2 linked regions of the Schizosaccharomyces pombe genome follow. The protein of the gene in region 1 purifies or fractionates together with the protein of each later gene. This does not show direct contact. Each region holds a gene or a part of one and is shown in the gene's direction. Other genes may lie near its edges. The genes, in order: bch1 and cfr1.

Region 1 (5,112 bases):
GTTTTAAGAAAACAGAGCAAACTACCTTGTTCTATTAAACTTCATCATTAAAAAAAGTAATAAAAATTTATTGAAAGGATCAGTTAGTAATTCAACGTTAAGTCGAATATAGTAATCATTATAAGAGATTGTAAACCATCAGTGATATCTGTTGAAATGAGTGAAACATCAAATGAAGCTGAAATATTACCAATGGGTAATGAAGGACAAAAAATTCGTTTGTAGCCTTTATTTTCATTCCTTATCAGCAGACTTTGCCGAATTGTAAGACTCCGTTTTTTCCTGAGCGCCATTTTTCCATCGAGTATAAAGGAACTCTGCATCACCATGAGTTTTAACCTCGTTTTTAATTTCCGGTTTTAAGGCTTGACGAACAGTTTGGGAACAAATAGAAGCATATTTGCTATAACTACAAATATTCATTCATTAGTAAAACTATCAGGGTATATTTAATGTTCACATTCAAGAAATGAATCCATACCTAAAGTTTTTCTTCCAAGCAAAAGCCATTTTCTCAATGAATTGCTAAATCGTACAGAGATGGGGGAACGGTAACTTAAAATCCATGACACTCTCTTGAAACCCCGTTCGGTAAGGGTCGGACACATTTATTGAGTTCAATATGTACATTCGTTAATCTAACATTGGTAACGTGCTTTTCTTAGTAAAATATAGCGCAGTTTGATTAAAATGACTTTGGTGATGCTAACGATTCATCGCTATACAGATTGCCTTTTTATTAATCAACACTATTCAGTAAATAAATATTCAAAAGGCCGTATTAATTTGAATTGACAAATGAATATATACCTCTCATCAGTCAAAAGGCTGGTTATTTTCGCTACTAACCATAATTTATTAGAAGGACAAAGCGGTACCAAAGCCTTAATTGTTTACTAGCTGGGCAAGTGAAAGTAATTCAATACATTCGCAAGAAAACTGAACTTAAGCACTGTTACGTTTCTCACTTTGTTTAATCTTAACACTTATCGTAGTTAATTTAAAAATGTCAGTTAAAACAAGCAATGTATACTAGCACTCTCCATTGATTGTATTTAGTCAAATTAGCTTTCTTGATGAGCGTTAACATGAATGGCTTAAGCATAAATTTCGATTCTTTCTTTGTAGAATTTTGCACTATTAAATAACGTATTCGCACATGTTATTTGGTTTTAGGATATTTTAAACAAACAATGGTTCATTGCAAGAGACATCTATCAAAATGTATGGCTAGATGAAACAAAAAATTTCTTGTCAAGGAGATATATAATGCAAAAATCAATAACTCCTGATTCTACTTTTAGACGTTTCATTAAAGGTTCGTTAAAGATTTCGAAATTCGGAAAAAAATTCACAGCAACTTACATTCGCAATTGCTTGGAAGTATTGTATTAATTTATCATATGCTTACCAGCGTATTGTGCGAGTTTTTTAAAGCTAACATTGTGCGTATGACTGGTCTAACTTTTAGTGGAAACTAACATAAAGCTGTTCTTTTTTTTAATACTAATTGCGTTGGATTCCGCACCAACAAGAAATTTTTATTTCAATTGTATTAATCAATGAGTTGTAATCTTAAGAAAAAATTATCGCTACACTATTCGTTGGGTACTACTTTTGACTTCCCTAAATCATCAATTGTCAGGATGAATGAAGATACAAATCAAAATGTATAATATTCAATTATTTTTTGGTTTTCAAATACACTAAATGCATAATTTAATGATATTTATTTATTCTTTATATATAAGGAAATTGTGGACGATTGCCTAATTGTCGCTTGCTACACTTCGTTACAGCAAGTCAGGCTGCGGCTACACCATAACCTCTTAACTGGAACCAGCCACGAGGCCGAATTGAACGCTGCTTTGCATATTAATTCCAATTTATGATATATGAGTGATTCATTCTTTAAGGATATACCAGAGTAAGTTCCTTAAATATAATTGAGCTGAAGTTCTAAACAATGACGATAGGTTTTTAGAAACTCGTGTAAACGAGTCATTAGATGCGCGTTCTAAATCCATCGCACAATTTAAAGAACTCGGGCCTCCTGATCAGGTCAATACTATAAAAGTTAATGCAAAAAATCCATCAAAAGAGGTATGTCACTTTTTAAAGCAGCGAAAGCTGTAGTGTTAATGATGTTGGAGATTAGTGGGGAAAGGATCAAGACAAGTCTCTCTTTACCAAACTTTTCACTCCTATTGAAACGTTAACGTTTTACGTATTATTAACCTCGTCAAAGGTTGGAACTTATCACTTTGTATCTGGAGTTGATGCTTCTTCCTCAGCTTCACTAGCGGCATATTTAAATACGCTTTCCTATTCTCTTGATAAAAGTCAACAATGGTTTGGGAAGGGAAACGCTTGGCGTGTTAGTCACGGAGTTTACTGTTGCTACAATGTCTTCTCTCAAGTTGATGTTCGTGTGGAAGCTAAAATTCCTGGAGGTGTTGACACATATGCTATTGATGAGAATGGGCAAAAGCATATTGTCGATGCTCGTATGTGGACAGAAGCATATATGTCTGAAGTCCTTCGTTCGTTACTTTATTCTGATGATACAAATTCTCGCTTTGCAGGACATCGTCGTTTTAACCCCATTCCAAATCCTGATGCAGAATTAAGATTTTTTGAGGCTGCCGAACAGCTTTTTACGTTAGGTTATACTCTAGGGTCTTCTTCTGAAGTTCGGGTACCTACGCATGTAAATAATCATTTGGTTCGTGGAATTTTCGCTTACTTGAAGCAAACCTGCCGCTACAGTGCTGCTCTAAATCTTTTTGAAAAGCTCCGGGTGTCAATTCCAGAGGTATCGGTTTTGCTTGCTGAACTATACTTACTAATGGACCATGAAGTGCATGCTGTTCGTATCTTGCATGATTCATTGCTAAAACAAAGAATGTCCGCTAGTTTGCTTATTGTTCAAGTTAAGTTTCTGATTTCAAAAGAGCGCTATGACCTTGCACTTATCTGTGCTAAGCGCGCCGTTCATGCTTCTCCATCAGAATTTGCAACTTGGGCATGTTTGGCTGATGTATACTTGCATTTGGAGGATTTTAAATCAGCGTTGTTAGCTCTAAACTCCTGTCCCATGTATACTTACTATGAAAGAGATGCTTATCCTTTGCCTCCTAGTGCTCGTGCTCATTTACCATTTCCTGTCAATTTTCCTAAAGAAGAACTGGAAGTTGAAAATAATGCGCAGAACGGTTATACAGTTTCTACCGAAATTACCGATCCTTACTTAGCTCGCCTACCATCTCCCAGTCTTCGTGGTACATTTGCGAAGGCATATGAAATGCTCACCCTTATATGTGCCAAAATAGGTTGGGATGAACTATTGCGGGTTCGTTCAGCTGTCTTTGTGATGGAAGAAGAATATAGATCCTTAAATGATATTACAGAAGGAAACGCTTCTCCCGATCAAAACGAAGTTGCAGAAGAAAGCGTTGCAGAAGAAGTTGTTGGTTTAGACAAACCAGAAACATCTGTTGGTTCTCTTCCAAAAAATGCCACTGTTCAGAGTAAACGTCTCTGTGAGCGCTGGCTAGATAATCTTTTTATGGTTTTATATGAGGATTTACGTGTATTTACGATTTGGCGCGCTGAATATACTCACTTTAAATCTCAAGGTCTAGCTTACAGAAAAGCTCCTGCAGAATGGGAAATACTAGGTGAGGTTGCTTTTCGGTTGCATCATCGTGTTGAGGCTGTTGAAGCATTCTGCGCTTGCTTGGAAAGTATGTTTTCTTTTAAGGCCTGGAAAACTCTTTTGATAATTTATTCAGAAGACAATAATATTGAGCTCGTTTTGACCGCTATCGCTAAATTAACACTTTATAACTACCGATGGTATCAAGAGGTGAGTTTTTTTCTTTTTTAGATTCCATAACTATAAAACGCTAACATAATCTTAGTATTCCCCCTTTCTTCTGGAGCAAATGAAAAATCGCATTATGCAAGATGGCGCTTTGAAGATGAAGAGTATCCTTGCTTCTACTAGACTTGATCCGTATATCCTTAATCTTATACATAAGCTGTATTTTGAATGGGCTATCGCCTTTCAAATTCCTGGCCATGAATTGTAAGTTTAGACTCATTAAAGCTTTCGTCTAGTGAGTTTTCAAGCGACATTCTTTGCTTTCTTTATTCCACGTTTCCTTCGTTCTGGTTTTCGTTCTTTAGTCAAAACATGTGATGTTGTTTCCCGTTTTCGTGTTTTCATCGAGATTAAATGAATTTATATATATTATCTAACACGCATATAAATATTCTGGTCATGAATAAAATTTTTTTACCATTTTTAAATCATATATGATATTCCTATCAAGAGCTCTTAAGTAATTGTACAGACTTTGTTAATTTTTTGGAAAGCAGAGTGAGCGCATCCTTGCTTGTTCAGCCCACTTTTGTATGCTTATAATCCCCATTTCTCGAGATTGTTCTCTAATAGATTTATTAGATGTCGAATCAATCAATGACCAAGGTGTCAGGTTTATATTAGAACACAATTTAGGCCTCTTCTTTTTTATGCTACTTGTATGTGTCCGACTCGGTGAATAATAGTGATTTTGGGCTTTTCTAGGGAAGACGTAAGCAAATCGGAAAGTTGACGATGATTCTTGCTCCAGCTCTTTCGCCACTTGTACTTGTAAATCTTTTGTTAATGTCTTTTTCCTTGCCTTGGGTATCTACATAGCAATTAGTACAACAAAGAATTTCCTACAACCCATCAACGTATTTGAAAATACATCCCGGCTACATACCGTAGTGCCCTTCTTCGCTTTTTGGAATACAAAGTCACCATCCTGGATCATCTTTCCCAATGGTGTAGTTGTCATTGTCTAACATTTGATTAGAAATTCAATTCTTTTCTATAGTGTTCACGTTTGTTTATTTTTCTTAACCAGCATTTATGGTTGCCATGTCAACCTGGCATCTCAAAACAAAATTTCGTAAACAATAAGTTAACAATTGTAAAAATTATATAGGACAAAATAATAAAGATAAATTTTCTTCTTAACAGTTGTTAAATTTTTTTTGATGCTGGTTCATTATTGACTAATCAAGAATGATAGTAACGTCTACGTATGGCGAGATACATAC
Region 2 (4,978 bases), on another chromosome or scaffold:
GAAAGTTAAAACTTTCATAAAAATTTCATAACTCAAGGAAATTTAGAAGAAGAAATATATTGTTATGAACAGCTCAAATCGCCAAGAAACAAGACGTGTTTCCAAATCTCTATTCCAAAGGGCGTAGTTGGTTCCTCCCAAATTCACCAATACTAAGGATTTGTTTACGTTATTTACTATGAGGGTACAGCTAGTTACATGTTTCTTATTGTAAAAAGGCAAGAAGTAATTTTATTACTTTATTTTATTTTTTTTCTTTAATTTATATAAGTATAATCACAAAACTGCTTTGCAACCCAACATTACAAAGCCAGATGTTTAACGCAATGGAAAGAGGATTAACGAATTGGTACACATCAACTCCAACCGAGCGCAAAAATAAATCCTCCACCAACTAACACATACGACCATGTCTGAGCCATATGACCCATATATCCCGGCGGAGCCTTCTGCAGCTGTTCGTAGTGGAAATGCTGCTGCTTCGTCGACGCCGAATATGAAGACAGCTGCAATTCAGCAGCAGATTGACGATACTGTGGGGATTATGCGTGAAAACATTTCTAAGGTTTCAGAACGTGGAGAACGCCTTGATTCTTTACAAGATAAAACAGGTATGATATTTATTTTTGTTAACAGTTAAATTTTTTTTTTGAACGTTTAGCTAACTTCTTTAAGATAACCTTGCTGTTAGCGCGCAAGGCTTCCGTCGTGGCGCCAATCGTGTTCGCAAGAAGATGTGGTGGAAGGACATGCGTATGCGTCTTTGCATTATCATTGGTATCATCATTTTACTTGTTGTCATTATTGTTCCTATCGCAACAAAATTTCATGGCAAGTAAGAAGATGTATCATGTAGCTTAGTCGCATGCCGAGTCAAAATATTTGCTGTTTGAATACTTTTTTTTCAAGCGTATTTTTGTCTCTGGTTTTTTTCTTCCTTCTCTCTTTCTTTCTCTCTTGCCTGACACAACAACCTATAAATCGAATTTTAAGAAAAAAGCTTCTGATGTAGACAGGGCCACTTTTTTTGCAAAGAGATAACGCATTTTTTCTCAAGATCCTTTATTCGTTTTTATTTTTCTTGCATATACATACTTGATGACTGACGGGTCAATGATAGTGAATACCAGGTTGGTTTTTTGTTGAGCAATTTGGTTTTGGCCTGTATTGCTTTTTCCTCTTTTCTTCTTTCTACACCTCACCATACATATCATGGGCCTTGCTTGCTTGACAAAGGAAATCTTTATGGATACAAAATTATCATTACTTTCCGTACTTAAGATGGTAAATAGAATTTTTGTTTCCTTCTCGGTATTTCTTTTCTATTCCGCTCTTTATATGGATAACCCTATAGCATAAAGATGGATAATGTTTTAATGTATACAGATTAGCCTCGATATTCCATTTGTCTACGGCTTTTTTCTAATTCTTCAAAAGTACTTAGTACGGGAGCAAATTTGTTATCTTATTTTCATATTTTTCCTTTAGAAGCTAGCTTCTTTTTATACTGATTATTGCACTGATAGGTGTATTAAAAAACCACTATTCTTAATTAATTTTATAGAGTGAAATGTGTAAACCTGATAATTAGGAAATATTTTTTAAGTTTGCTCACACGTGGTTTTATATCCAGATTAACAATTGTATTATTTTTCGACTTCTATTTTGCTCAACAGATATTGTGGTCTAATCCTTCATTCGTGTAGTATTTTAAATTTTGAATGCAGCACGGTTTACGAATTAAGATATATTCATCAACTGGGTTCAACAGTACTGCATTTGTTTTTGTTTACTATCAATGTAACTTAACGTAATTTAGAATTTAATTGTATCAGAAAGTAGTATATTTGCTCCCCTTAAAATGCTTTAGTCTGAAGAATAGATAATAATAGCCCAATATTTTAATAATTTAGATGATTGAAAAAATCAACAGATTTTTTTGTAATATTGTTTGTATGAATTCTCGTTGAAATATAATAATAAACTACATATATTAAATCGTTCACTTTTACTGAGTGATTGAATTAAATATATCTTCAAATATTTGTATATAATTTTAATAAATTGTAATTGTCTTCCTTACTAGAATTACGCTTATAATGATACTAACCAGAAAATTTAAAAAATATATAAGTTTGATATGTAAATAGATTGTGAAAAACCAGGGAATCACAACAACTCTTGATATTTATCAAAACAAAGATGATTATAACCTACATTTTTACTACGGTTCCTTAGGTAACAAGTGCTACCTATAGTTAGAAGTGTAAGAGTGCTGGTTAAGGTAAACACTCCACCACAACCAAAGGGGATTATCAATAATAGCATCTAAAATGGATGATACAAATCAATTTATGGTGTCTGTGGCCAAAATAGATGCGGGAATGGCCATCTTATTGACACCTTCATTTCATATTATAGAATTTCCATCCGTGTTGCTGCCGAATGACGCGACTGCAGGCTCTATAATCGATATCTCTGTGCATCACAATAAAGAGGAAGAGATAGCAAGAGAAACTGCATTCGATGATGTTCAAAAAGAAATTTTTGAAACATATGGCCAAAAATTGCCGTCTCCTCCTGTTCTTAAGTTAAAGAATGCTACTCAGACTAGCATTGTATTGGAATGGGATCCTTTACAACTCTCCACTGCGAGACTCAAAAGCCTTTGCTTGTACCGTAATAATGTTCGAGTGCTTAACATATCTAATCCCATGACTACTCACAATGCCAAGCTGAGTGGCTTATCTCTCGATACAGAATACGATTTTTCCCTTGTTTTGGATACGACTGCGGGAACATTTCCCAGCAAACACATTACCATCAAAACGTTAAGAATGATAGATCTCACAGGAATTCAAGTGTGTGTTGGCAACATGGTTCCCAATGAGATGGAGGCTTTACAAAAGTGTATTGAACGCATTCACGCTAGACCAATTCAAACTAGCGTTCGTATCGATACAACTCATTTTATCTGCTCTTCTACTGGGGGTCCTGAGTACGAAAAGGCAAAAGCTGCCAATATCCCTATTTTAGGTTTGGATTATTTGTTGAAATGCGAATCTGAAGGACGTTTGGTGAACGTTAGTGGTTTTTACATCGAAAATCGCGCTTCTTACAATGCTAACGCTTCTATTAATTCTGTAGAAGCTGCGCAAAATGCTGCACCAAATCTCAATGCTACAACCGAACAACCGAAGAATACCGCTGAAGTTGCTCAAGGTGCTGCATCAGCTAAAGCTCCACAGCAAACAACCCAACAGGGAACTCAAAATAGTGCAAATGCTGAGCCATCTAGTTCAGCTTCTGTTCCGGCTGAAGCGCCTGAAACTGAGGCTGAGCAATCAATCGATGTTTCCAGCGACATTGGTTTACGAAGTGATTCTAGTAAGCCCAATGAAGCTCCAACTTCTTCGGAAAACATCAAAGCGGATCAGCCAGAAAATTCTACAAAGCAGGAAAATCCCGAAGAGGATATGCAAATAAAGGATGCTGAGGAACATTCGAATCTGGAAAGTACACCTGCTGCCCAGCAAACTTCCGAAGTTGAAGCTAACAATCATCAAGAAAAACCATCTTCTTTGCCAGCCGTTGAGCAGATTAACGTGAACGAAGAAAACAATACCCCGGAGACTGAAGGACTTGAAGATGAAAAAGAAGAAAATAATACAGCCGCTGAATCTTTAATCAATCAAGAAGAAACTACCTCCGGTGAAGCAGTTACAAAGAGTACTGTTGAATCCTCAGCGAATGAGGAAGAAGCTGAACCTAACGAAATAATTGAAGAGAACGCTGTTAAATCTTTATTGAATCAAGAAGGACCTGCAACTAACGAAGAGGTTGAAAAAAACAATGCTAATTCTGAAAATGCGAATGGCTTGACAGATGAGAAAATAATCGAAGCCCCTTTAGATACTAAGGAAAATTCAGACGATGATAAGCCATCTCCCGCAGCAGCTGAAGATATTGGTACTAACGGTGCAATTGAGGAAATCCCTCAAGTTTCTGAAGTCTTAGAGCCAGAAAAAGCGCATACTACTAACTTGCAACTGAATGCGCTCGATAAAGAAGAAGATCTAAATATTACTACAGTTAAGCAAAGTTCGGAACCTACGGCTGATGACAATCTAATACCCAACAAAGAAGCAGAAATTATACAATCTTCTGACGAGTTTGAAAGTGTAAACATTGATTAATGACATTGATCTCTTGTATTCTGCAGTCTTTTTTTTTTCTTATGTTTATATGTTAACATTCTACGAATATCCTCCACTTTTCCAATCGTTTGACTAAAGGCACATGGGAACCATTTTGAACTGTAATGCTCTGGTATCCTTGCAGTCTTCTAGACCATGGAAGTACATCTAAACTCATTTAGCATTAGTAAATATATAGCTTCGGATTTTTTTTTCGTTCTCTAATAAATTTTTTTTTTTAAATTAAATCAACTAGGTCAAAAATGGGTAATGGGAGGTTTTGAAATTATGTTTCATTATACTGATAGACAGAACTTACAATATCGTAGTTTGAAATTCGTGCTGGCGTCTTCTTCCATATGTATCAATGATTCTTTATTTTGACCTTGGCAAAGCAAAGCGAATTGCCATATATTCGGAAATATCGAGTATAAATATTCTATCCTTTCAATTGAAACTTGAATAAGGCTGTGTTTTAAAAATCTAGCATGCTCACAGTTTGAATCAGTGCATACAGGTGTTTGAGTATAAATCGCGATTTGGGTTAAATATTCTACTTTGTTTTGTTCAAAAGAAATAAGCGTCGTAGTTAATAAATGCATTTTGTTTAAATCAGTATCATTTAGGATGGGTGAAAGGATTTTTTTTTAAAACGCGTCGTTTGTAGAAGAAGAGGTGCATAAAATATGAACACACCACATATAATAATAAGAGGATAGACATTAAAGCCAACAACCTATTAAAAGTGTAAATTTGAAATCAAAAAAGATTAAAAAAAAGAA

The links.
Region 2: the proteins of bch1 (region 1) and cfr1 purify together in Schizosaccharomyces pombe (affinity purification with western blotting, with the first as the bait; one study listed by BioGRID). This does not show direct contact.

What each region holds. Positions count from the first base shown.
Region 1 is NC_003423.3:3,783,953-3,789,064, forward strand, and holds bch1 (ChAPs family protein), read left to right. Parts: upstream 1-1,835; 5' UTR 1,836-1,895; coding exon 1,896-1,927; exon of another isoform or gene 1,928-1,976; coding exon 1,977-2,103; exon of another isoform or gene 2,104-2,126; intron 2,127-2,248; coding exon 2,249-3,868; exon of another isoform or gene 3,869-3,923; coding exon 3,924-4,094; 3' UTR 4,095-4,361; downstream 4,362-5,112. Other genes in the region: F0-ATPase epsilon subunit Atp15, read right to left, coding at 235-409, 482-510; SPOM_SPBC31F10.17C (uncharacterized protein), read right to left, coding at 4,365-4,697, 4,773-4,823.
Region 2 is NC_003424.3:3,267,902-3,272,879, forward strand, and holds cfr1 (CHS5-like protein Cfr1), read left to right. Parts: upstream 1-2,295; 5' UTR 2,296-2,333; coding exon 2,334-4,196; 3' UTR 4,197-4,248; coding exon of another isoform or gene 4,249-4,364; 3' UTR 4,365-4,466; downstream 4,467-4,978. Other genes in the region: syb1 (synaptobrevin family receptor), read left to right, coding at 410-611, 676-839; bouquet formation protein Bqt1, read right to left, coding at 4,249-4,364, 4,516-4,798. UniProt on the Schizosaccharomyces pombe protein: Required for cell fusion, independently of fus1. Appears to have a role in transporting proteins that are involved in mating. May act as a scaffold to retain cell fusion proteins in the cisternae of the Golgi.